Linked DNA regions of Macaca fascicularis. The protein of the gene in region 1 binds, or shares a complex with, the protein of each later gene. Links are inferred from orthologs where the notes say so. Each region holds a gene or a part of one and is shown on either strand. Other genes may lie near its edges.

Region 1 (5,466 bases):
GCTTTGTGATCTAGGCAGGCTAAAGTGAGATGGGAATGGTTCCGAGGAAACAGAATCCACCAAGGCTGGAATGGAGAGATGATGAGTTCAGCTTAAGACAGTGTTACTCAACCTCAGCACCAGGGACATTTGGGCTGGATCATTCTTTACTGGGTCGGGGGGGCGGGGGCTGTCCTGTGCATTGCAGATGTTCAGCAGCATCCCTGGCCTCTATCTGCCAGATCCCTGTAGCATCCCCCTCTCCATTTGTGACAAATGAAATGTGTCCAGACATTGGCAAACATTCCACAGGGAACAAAACTGCCCCCTGTTGCGAACCTCTGGTTTAAGGGTCTTCCAGACAGACTTCCCCGCAGACATAAGACCTGAGTGGGCCCTAAAGGATGTAAAATTTGGATCAGCAGTGCAGTCCTGCTAAGTGGGACCATGTGATGTGGGGAAATCAGGCAGGTGGCATGCAGGATGGTGTTAGGAAACTATGGAAAATTGTGTCTTTAGAACCAGATCACTGGCAGGTGTGAAGTTTTCGACTGGATTCAGCTGGTCAGTCTCATCAGCATCCAACCAGGCGACTTCACTAGTGAGAGGATTCAGCTGCCTGAGAGCTCAGAGGAGGAGAAATTACAGAAGAGTGGCCAGTCAGGAGGCACAGCAAGCATCTAGATATGAGATGATGAAGACCTGGTCCAGGTGGCCCCAGGAAGAGTAGAGCAGAATGGACACAGGACGTTGCAAAGGAAAAATCATCTAAGGTGGGAGAAAGAGAGAGAATCTTTGAAGAAAGCATATACTTTAGCCTTTTTTTAATTTTTATTTATTTATTTTTTGAGACGGAGTCTCGCTCTTTTGCCCGACTGGCTGGAATGCAGTGGCGCGATCTGGGCCTAACTGCAGCCTCCCAGGTTCAAGTGATTCTCCTGCGTCTGCCTCCCGAGTAGCTGGGACTACAGACGCACGCCACCATGCCCAGCTAATTTTTGTACTTTTAGTAGAGACAGGGTTTCACCATATTAGCCAGGATGGTCTCCATCTCTTGACCTCATGATCCGCCCGCCTGGCCTCCCAAAGTGCTGGGATTACAGGTGTGAGCCACCGTGCCCAGCCTACTTTAGTCTTACATGAGTAGAGCATTCAGGAGTTTACAATACACTTTACATGTTTTTAGCTCAAGCCTTGTGAAATGAAAGTCATTCTCATTTCCCAGATGAGGAGACTGAGGCTCCGTGAGGGTCACACACTTACTGAACTGTAATCAGATTTGTAAGCCAGTGTACTGGTTCCATTAATACTATACCACTGGGGCCCCCAGTTATCAGTCAACATTTATCAGTAAAAATTTGAGCACCTACTATGCATCAGGTACTGTTCTAGGAATAGGGGATGTATCAACGGAAGGAAAAAAAAAGGCCAAGTCTCTACATTTAAGGAATTTTCAATCTATTAGGGAAAGGCAGACAGTTAACAAATAAAATGTATATGGTATACTCCTATTTGTGCAAAAGTAAAAGGAGGGAGATTGTGTGTGTGTGTGTGTGTGTGTGTGTGTGTGTGTGTGTGTTGTGTGTTGGTTTGTTTATATGTAGAATCTCTGGAAGGATACGCAAGGAACAATGGCTCCCTCCAGAGATAACTGGGAAGCTAAGGGGCAGGGATGGGAGAAAGACATTGCTCTGGCTCTTTTGTGCCTTCTGTCCCATGTGCCTATCTTGCCCATTTTTAAAAATCAAATGCCAAAAGTTAATGGGGCAGGTGTTTGTTTTTTGAGACAGAATGTCGCTCTGTTGCCTAGGCTGGAGTGCAGTGGTGCTATCTCGGCTCACTGCAACCTCCACCTCCCGGGTTCAAGCGATTCTCCTGCCTCAGCCTGCCGAGTAGCTGGGATTACAGGCGCCCACCACCACACCCAGCTAATTTTTTCATATTTTTAGTAGAGATGGGTTTTCACCTTGTTGGGCTGGCTGGTCTTGAACTCCTGACCTCAAGTGATCCACCCACCTTGGCCTCCCAAAGTGCTGGGATTACAGGCGTGAGCCACCACACCTGGCTTGCCGCCCGTGTTTAAGGTATTCCAGGCAGATGAGTTTGACGGAAGAGAATGAACAGTGTGTTCAGAGGATTGCAAGTAGCATGAAGCTGTGCGATGCAGGAAAGAGATCAGGAATGCAGCAGGAAGGTCTGATGCCATGCTAAGGAGTCTTGGTTCCAACAGAAAGATAGGAAGCATCTCAAATAGGAGAGTGTTATGACCTGAAAGAAACTGTCGCACGTTCATGTTGGCAATAGGATGAAGAGAGAACCAGCTGGAGGGCAGAGAGCAGAAGCAGGGAGGCCAGGAGGCAGAAAAGGCATCACCCAGACCACAGTGATGAAGCCCAAACTAAAGTGACAACAGTGGAGACAGTGAGTATGTTCCCAAAACATGTAGACAGTCAGAGGGCAGGACCAGGTGTGGGTTTGGAGCTGGATATAAGAGAGGGAGGCCCTCAGGGTGAGCAGCTAGAGCCCAGAAAGCCCTAGAAAGCCAGGTAAGGTGAAAGCAAGAGGAGGAAAACTGAGGAGAAGCAGGAGGGGCAGAAGGAAAGCTAAGATAAGTGTCCCAATACTCCCAGAATAGGAGGCTCTCATGAAGCGAGAGGTCAACAGTGTCTATTACCTCAAAGAGAGAGCAGGCAAGAAAAATGTGGAAACGTGCCCATATGGTTGGCCATGAGGCCACTCTGCAGATGCTTCACAAGTGCATGAGTACGTGTGGACCTCTGGGAGCGGGGACAGGACAGGTGGCTGGAGAATGGAGGCAGCTCCATGCCACTCTTAGAGCAGGAAACACAAGCGATGAGTGCTTATACCTTGTCCAAGGGCGACACTTTTCAAAAGCAGATGACACATTGGAGAAGAAGCCGACCGGGCAGGGCTCACAGATGGTATCAGAAACCCCTGTAGCTGGGAGTGGGTGGGGAGGGGGACATTAACCATCACAGTGGACCACCTGTCAAGCTCACAAGGGAGCCAGTGGCCAGGCAGGACGGGAAGAGCTCCTGCCTTGAACACTCTTCCCCTGATGTGGTGCTGCCCCCAACAGCTGCAATCCCCAGGAGGATTTCTCCCATTGCCCTTCAAAGGCAGATGCCCATGGCAGGAGGAAGAATGAACAAGGTCCCATCTGCAGCTCACTCCAGTGGGGATGCCGACATAGGTTGGAGCCTCCGCTTCCTCTGCCTCTGGAGCTAAGTGCCCACTGCCCAGCCCCTCACCCTGGGCCCTAAGCTCCTCTGTCCCACCTCCAAAACTGATTCCCAGATGAGCCACTTACCAATCTGCTTGACCCCAAAGCCAGGCAAGCATGAGCGGTGCGGGACACAGCTCTCACAGGACTCACTCGTACAGTGCAGGCCTTCTTCACAGGTGCAGATGGTGTCTGTTTCTGAGGTGCCCTTCTGCTGGACCTGAAGCCCTAGGTCTGAGAAGAGAAGGGCAGGAAGGATGGGAACACCCCACTGGACCATAGTCTGAGCCTCACTCCCCACATTGCCTGCTCTTTCTTCCTCAGACCCTCTTCCAAGTAGAGATGGCAATCAAATCATTTAATGACCAGTACAAGCCGGACTCCAACCAATCAGAACAAACCCTGGCTACATAAAATTAGAATGGCTGCATTGTTGGGAATATCAGCTGCAATATCAACCCGGCTCCCAAGCGTCCCTTTCCCAACAGCCCACGCACTGGGGTCGCAGTATTTGTGCTGGTGGCAGCGTGTCTCTCTATTCCAGGTGTCTAGGAATTCGCTTTCACCGCAAGGAAGGCATTCTGTTTCGGTGAACTCTGTGCAGTCACTCACCAGTTTCTGTCCTGGAAAACATCAGGAAATGAGGGAGGGCTCTGGCCAACTCCATGAGTCAGACACTAACCACACAATGATCAGGCCAGGCTTTAGGGTAGGGGATTCAAAGATGAAAGTCTTGGACCCTTCATAGTCAGGCAAGGAAGATGGAGGAGCTGGGATCCCTAGTTCAGGGTAGACAGAGGTTTACCTGGTAGAGAGGGAACCCAGAACATTCTGACAGTGAAGCAGGACTGGGAAGTGGGTTGTTTCAGATTTGAGTTTACAGTTAACACATGGGGTCTGCGTCTGCCACCAAAGCAAAGGGGGGCTCCATGATGGGGCTAGAGGGTTGGCATCTCACCTGGCTGGCACAAAGAACAGCACTGACTGTTTATTAGGTACTGTTTTTCTCTGCATGCAGTGGGTGGTTCTGGATAGACCTAAAAACAGAATGGTGCAATTTGAAGGGATCTTGAAATCTCCGCTGTAGCCTCTTCAGCAGAAAGGTAAAAGTCATCCAGGACAGAGGCTGCAAACTGAAGTGCAAGTCAAAACAGAAAGTGGAATCTGCATGATATTTGGAATGTTTGTTTTCAAGTAAATTGCCTGATTATAATCGCACCCAGAGAATCATTTTGATATTTTACAAAGCAGTGGTACTGGAAACTCACACATTCTCTGAACTGAACAGAATTCCTTTGGGCTTGATGCCTGAGTCACTCCTCTTCCCAAAGATCCCATTGGATATGGGGACTCCAGCAGCTCCCCTGGAGTCCTGAAGCTAGGTGACTTCAGCTGGCCCTAGTGCTGTTTGGGGCTATGTTTAGCACTTGGCCTCTTCCTCCTATTCTTCTGCTTCCCTTCCTGCTCCTTTCCAAGACCCATCATGTTTTCTTCCTTCAACTCCTCATCATCTGCTCATCCAGCCCTTCCCTCATAAAATGCTAGAATGTAAAGCTGGAAGGGTAAACTCACACTCTTTCATTTTACAGATAGTTGAGACTGAGCACCAAAGAGGAGGGTCACTTGCCCAGAGTTTCACAGTGACAGAGTCCAAATGAGAACTCAAGTCTCAATGCTCCCTCTCTCCATCAATTTGTGTTTCATCTTCACCATTTTACTACATCCAGGTACCACCCATGCTATTAATTACTTCTTGTTAATTTCAATACTTTTATTTTCTTTTATTTTTTCAGACAGGGTCTCGCTCCATCACCCAGGCTGGAGTGCAATGGCACCATCTCAGCGCACTGCAACCTCTACCTCCCGGATTCAAGCAATTCTCCCGTCTAAGCCTCCTGAGTAGCGGGATTACAGGTGTGCACCACTATGCCTGGCTAATTTGTGTATTTTTAGTAGTGATGCGGTTTCACCAGGTTGACCAGGCTAATCTCAAACTCCTGACCTCAAGTGATCTGACTGCCTTGGCCTCCCAAAATGCTGGGATTACAGGCGTGAGCTACCATGCCTGGCCAGTACATTTACCTTAAATGTAAACCTTACATCATCGCCAAGAGACAAGAACCAGTATCACTTCTCATAAATAAAAGGTAACCCTAAAAATAAATTATGAGGAAGCAAAACAAGGTTATCAAACCCCAGCTGGTTGCTTTGCTTGCTGAAGGCCCTCCACCCCAGGCCTGCTC
Region 2 (6,226 bases), on another chromosome or scaffold:
AACCCACGAATCACCCAATGAAACCATGGAGAAGAAGAAGAGAGGGGAGGAGAGGAGAAGGGAAAAAGAAAGGAAATAGTGAGAAGGAACACCAAAGTTTTAAGGGGTATGAAGAGAAAAGAGGATAACATGAAGAAGGATTTTGAGAGGCAGAAGCCCTTAAGAATGGGGTGATATAGAATTCAAGCGGGGAGAGCATTCAGGAAGATGACAACAGGATAATAGGTCAACAGAGTAATAGAAAGGTCACTAAAAATAAACCCTAAGAAGTATTCAGCCAAAACTATTATTGAGCTAATAATTGTGGGATCAATTTCAGGGGAATATTGTGGGCAGAAGTCAGACTGTAGGAGACTGGGGATCAAGAAATTGAGGCAAGGAGGTTGGACAACAACTGTTTTTTCAAGTTGGTCACGTGAACAAATCCTGACATTGTCTGCATCTTTGTGGTTCCTTCAGCATCCCCTCCCTCGGGTCTTGGCTGAGCTGATTGCAGGGCCCCTGCAGCTCTGGCACTCTCAAGTTGTATAAAACTGTCAGTGCAGAAGTCCTTGAGCCCATTTTGGCTCTCATGATAATTTTCCTTCAGTGGAACTAAGGTTACTTGTCTAAGAACCGAAGTCTCTGACTTGACTGATCAAAGTTCATCACGTGCATTGAAGCCACCTACTTGGCAGATGTAGTGAAAAGCTACATAGATCTGGGCCCAGGACAGGATGCTGGGGCGTGGGAGGGGAAGAAAGCAGGTGCTAACTATATAGATAGCATGCCTATCGGAGCAGTTTTTACATTTCCTATTTGTCTCTCAAAACAATTTTATAGGAATCATCAAAGTAATTTTATCATGGTTTCTAGACCAGGTTTGGATGTGAGGTAGGGATTTCCACAGCTGCTTTTAGTTTGAAGGAAATCTGATAAGATGATGCAAAAGTCCTTCAGAAATGTGTAATCCTACACACTTCAGTGATTCAATTCATTGTCAAAACTTAAGGTGTTTTTAATATCGTTATTGTTCATTTGGTTTTTACCAACATGTAAGGAGTTGGCAATTATTTGTAAAACTCATGTCTTAGGCTAAATAAATTCCAAAAAATTCAGGATGAGAATTGTTTATTGCTTAACGTGTTTCAAATTTCTTCCATGCACTTCTTTATTAGATCTTCACAGCAACCTATGGGATAAGCAAGACAGGTGCAAGTGCCTCCTTTGGGTATGAGGAAACTGAGGTCTAAAGAGATGAAGAGATTTGCCCAAGGCTCATAGCAATTTATTGGTAGAGCAAAGACTAGAATTCAGATCTCTTAACTGCAGCCTATTTTCCCGATTCTGAACCATTACATCAGCATCAAAAGTTATCTAATAGATTGGAACGGTGTACACAGGCAACTTAGCTACATCAAGCCACGATTTTTACTTTAACTTCAATTCCAGAGTCTTGGCCTGATTTCCCTCAAGATCCTACTTGTCTTTGCCTTTAAGAAATTTATTTTTCTTGCATTATCTTTCCAGCTACATTTTATTTAATAACCATCAGCATCCTTTTTTTGCCTTATGCCATGTAGACTTGACCTGAAAACCTGCCAGGCTTTCATTGAGTTTAGCGATTAAAGAAGTAAAGTTTTGAGAAGCAATTAGTTGATGGGACACCAGTCATAAAATCAATCCAAACTTTTGTTGACATGTGTTTCTTTCCCCATATACCAGGTTCCCGCTTGATATTAGTAAGATTGAAATTGAAATAAGTCTATTGCTGGTGGATGAATTTGTCACTTTCCTTGAAACTGGTGAACCCAAAAAGTTAGACAGTGATAGGAAAATACTGCCATTGTCTGTTAAGAAGTCTATGACATTTCAAGGCAAGAATGAATATATGGAAGAAGAAACTTGTTTCTTCTTTACTAACAAAAAGGAAAGGCTGGAAGTGAATGATATGGGTATAATTTAAAAAAAAAAAAAAAAAAAAAAACCTTTACGTAACATTTTTGCTGGGAGAGAAGACTACGAAGCACATTTTCCAGGAAGTGTGGGCTGCAACGATTGTGCGCTCTTAACTAATCCTGAGTAAGGTGGCCACTTTGACAGTCTTCTCATGCTGCCTCTGCCACCTTCTCTGCCAGAAGATACCATTTCAACTTTAACACAGCATGATCGAAACATACAACCAACCTTCTCCCCGATCTGCGGCCACTGGACTGCCCGTCAGAATGAAAATTTTTATGTATTTACTTACTATTTTTCTTATCACCCAGATGATTGGGTCAGCACTTTTTGCTGTGTATCTTCATAGAAGGTTGGACAAGGTAAGATGAACCACAAGCCTTTATTAACTAAATCTGGGGTCCTTACTAATTCATAGGTTGGTTCTACCCAAATGATGGATGATGGTAGAAACCAAATAGAAGAATGGTCTTGTGGCATAATGTTTGTTGCCTAGCGATGAAGCCTCATATTCTTGTCTCTGGTTAGGATCTTGGGATCTGGAGTCAGACTGCCTGGGCTCAAATCTTGGCTCTGCCCATGCCATCTCTGTTATCCTGGGGCAAGTGCCTCAGTTTCCATATCTGAGAAATGGGGATGGCATTGGTGTCCATTTCATAGATCAAGTGAGTTTAGCCTTGTAAAGAGCTTAGAAGGGGGTCTGATACATAGTAAGCACTATGTACGCACTAGCTATAATTATTTGCTAAAGTTCTGCTTGAAAAGTAAGCTATTATTTTATGGAGACAACTTTTTTCTTTTAAATTTCCAGCTAGGCAAGAAGAGTGTCAATTTGATCTAAAATTTCATAGTGCTTCGGATTAACAGACATGGATAAGTCCCAGAATTTGCAGTCTTTTAGTAAAAGTAGCATTCTCTGTGTAATTCTTCGCAAACACTGATTGTAGTTGCAAGATGCTCAGTTTCCCTCTGAGATGTTTTACATTTTTAAATGGTTAGACTTGCAGGAACAAAAGAGCAGAGTAACTTAGTAGGCTGTTTTGCATTCTTAGGAAAAGAAAACCATCAGGATTTATTTTGTTTTCATGAATTTTTTCACTTCCACTGAGGAGTATAATTGGCTGGTGTTGACAAAACACCAATCATAGATGTAAAGCAGAAAGTTGATTAGTTTTCTGGCTGTTCCTAAAATTCTGGATGCAGGAACTGTGGCTAGAAAGCATCTGGATGATTGCACTTTATCAGGGATACTTGAGTGTCCTCTGTTAGGATCTGGACCTAGAATTAATGTCACGAGATTTTTCCATCAGGATAAAGTGAGATAGTGAGGGCTGAAGTCATCCACTGGGTTATCCAAATTTTAGGTTTCACTGCTGAAAAAAGAGGGGGCTTCTGGTCTGGTTGGTTATTTGTGTTTGGCCTGATGTGCTCTGTCAGTCAAATGTCTGGACATAGACCTAGCTTCAATAGTGACCTCGGTGGACTGATATTTACCATATTATTTATATGTGCTCTTAATGACAGCAAAAGCTGCCAGCTAACTGAATCTTGTTTTGAATCTAAAAAAATCTACTCTTAAAGCAAGAAAATGGTGCAAAATTAGTTGATAGTGCAAGTGAATTCTATACACTTAATTATTCTAAGACATTGGAAAATAAAATATCTTGTTACTTTGAGGATAAAAGATGATTTCTTTAAAAATGCAAATGTTTTCTACAAATACTAAAGTTAAAAGGGAGAGAGATGTAATTAGAACTCATTAACTGACACATTGCAAATTAACTTCTTTTTATAAAGCACTGCATCACAAACACTAAAATGAAGTGGGCAAATTAGCTCTGCAGAAAACTATTTTCTAGGCTGATGTTTATAATGACCAATCATTACTGAAGCAATGAGAAATGTGACAATTACAGAATATTGCTGCTATAGTATGTTGAAAAAATACGCATTTTGTAATGAACATTTAGTAGAATAGCTCTGATTTCTACCTGGAGTTTCTGATAACATGACATCTTAATTGCTGGCTTTTATAGATTTTTAAACTGCAAATACAAAATAGCAATCAGCCAATATAATAACTTATTATTCCCCATTTATGCCTGAAAGTCCTCCTCTTGTTGATGCCATGGAAATGAATGTAGAGACAGATATCATTAGCTGTATTCTCCTTCTGAATGACATTTATCATATCCTTGTTATTTCAAAATAGATAGAAGATGAAAGGAATCTTCATGAAGATTTTGTATTCATGAAAACGATACAGAGATGCAACACAGGAGAAAGATCCTTATCCTTACTGAACTGTGAGGAGATTAAAAGCCAGTTTGAAGGCTTCGTGAAGGTAAGGAGCTTAGTTGCTGGTAAAAGTGTCATTGAAATGTTCTACTACATTTTCTAAATTGGGAAACTGACAATGCCAATGTTTAAAGATTGGTTACAGACACAGACACACGCACACACAAACATGCATATATACACTCATACATGGGTGTGTGTGTGTGTTAAAAAAAAAAAAAAAAAAGACACTCTCTGGGGAAAACACACCCTTAGAGGCACAGTCAAACATATTTGTGAGCTTACATATGCAGCTACCACTAGGCAAAATGATAAAGTCCACCAAGCTTGGTTTTTGCATTTCTGTGTCTCCCCATCTAAACCTTGATGCTCTCTCACTGGGGACCCATGGTCTGATCCCCATTTCCTAGGGAAGCAATAGCCATCGACAGCTGCCGTGGCAGCAGGCCACAAGTGAAGGGACTCCTGAAGACTGGTAACAGTCTGTGGTGCTTCTCTGATGATGGAATTTTAGATGTCCTGACAGTAAGATCTTTCCCTTTTACTGGGGAGAGAGGTGCGGGGAGTAAATAATAGACATTCTCAGTGCCGCTCAAACCAGGTTCTATATAATATCACTTGCTCATGAAGCCCACCCACTCTATGACTGGTCATGACCAGAGGCACAGAGGGTTCAAAGCCTTTTAGCCCACCAGGCTGGTAGCCAGCATGAAGTCACTGCAGTGACTGTGGCTTATAACAGATACCTAAAACAAGAATTTTTACAACCTTTACATTAATTCCATCGTCACAGACATGGGGTCTAGAGGCTCTTTCTCCTGAGGCAGAACATCAAGAGTTCTTTCTGCCTATGTCCCTCTCAGAACACTGAGTCAAATACCCTTGGGCCTCGGCTCACTTAGGGGTCATTTCTAGGAGGCAGCACTTCACATTGACGACAGTTCTGGGCCAGATGGGTGGGTATCTGGGTAAACCAACAGGAGTTAGTTCTCACATATAGATTATGTGTAATTTAATGCAGGTGTGAAATGTTTAAGATCTTATTTCTGATCTTATTCCTGCCCTCCTGTACTGTTACCGAGGTGTCATTTTAATTCATTAGTGAAGACTCTAACAGCTTATTCCTGAGTCACCTACGGAGATCAGAATGCAGCTCAAATCCACTGCTCGCCTTCAGGTTCTTTACACTAATCTAGGCTGTAGATGAAACTCCTAAACCCTTTCTTTGCAAGACTGGCCAGCTAGGAAAACGATTTGAGTTTCTTCGGTTCTTCGAGGATTTGGGCCAGTATTACAGAGTATTGGAAGGTGTTATGAGATTAAATGTGAATAAAGGCACTTTCAAAACAATGGTTAATAATCCAAATAACAGACTGAATGTGCTTGGCTGTGTGACTTTGAGTAAATAACTTCACCTTTCTGGGCCTCAGTTTTGTCATCTATAACATGAGAAGACAGATTATCTGTAAGGGCACTACTAGCTCTGACATTCTATAATTATGTGATAAGCCTTCAGTTCCCTCCAATGGCAGTGAGAGTGGCTTGTCAGTCCCCCTCGTTTCTTACAGAGACTTTTACGGGTGAATTGTCAATTCCTCACGTCAATATTTCGGGTTGGATATGTATGTAAAGCTCCCAAAATCAGCTACCAAGGATAGGAGTAAGGAAAACAGTCAGTTTGGCCTCCCTGCTTATGCTTGTATGAAAAAAGTGACAGCTCCAATGTTTCATATTCTTAAAAGGCAGATCTTCTCAGGCATGTCAGCCAGGGCCCCAGGAATCTCCTCCTTACACACAACTAAGGAGGCCCCTTGTCTCTACTGCAGCAGGTGTGGAACCCTAGTCAACACCACCTATACCTAAGATTATGCACAATGAGTAGATACAAAGTCCTCCAGCTACTCAATCCTCCCCAAATGATGGATTCCCTTTCCAATACACTTTCCCCCAAATTGCTCACTCTAAAACAATATTTTAGATTTTGAAAAAA

Evidence for each region. Proteins that work in one complex are often made in the same cells at the same time.
Region 2: the proteins of CD40 (region 1) and CD40LG are in contact, whole or in part, in a crystal structure (PDB 3QD6), measured with the Homo sapiens proteins. The link is inferred for Macaca fascicularis from reciprocal best matches to the Homo sapiens genes CD40 and CD40LG. Residues at the interface, in NP_001241.1 of Homo sapiens: Glu64, Ser65, Glu66, His76, Cys77, Gln79, Tyr82, Asp84, Asn86, Leu87, Trp109, Cys119; in NP_000065.1 of Homo sapiens: Ile127, Glu129, Ala130, Lys143, Gly144, Tyr145, Tyr146, Cys178, Pro217, Cys218, Gln220, Ser245, Gln246, Ser248, His249, Gly250, Thr251, Gly252.

The regions. Positions count from the first base shown.
Region 1 is NC_088384.1:102,172,281-102,177,746, reverse strand, and holds part of CD40 (tumor necrosis factor receptor superfamily member 5), read right to left. Parts: intron 4,261-5,466; coding exon 4,182-4,260; intron 3,847-4,181; coding exon 3,721-3,846; intron 3,458-3,720; coding exon 3,311-3,457; intron 2,941-3,310; coding exon 2,847-2,940; intron 1-2,846.
Region 2 is NC_088395.1:142,789,806-142,796,031, forward strand, and holds the start of CD40LG (CD40 ligand), read left to right. Parts: upstream 1-2,077; 5' UTR 2,078-2,144; coding exon 2,145-2,300; intron 2,301-4,150; coding exon 4,151-4,282; intron 4,283-6,226. UniProt on the Homo sapiens protein: Cytokine that acts as a ligand to CD40/TNFRSF5. Costimulates T-cell proliferation and cytokine production.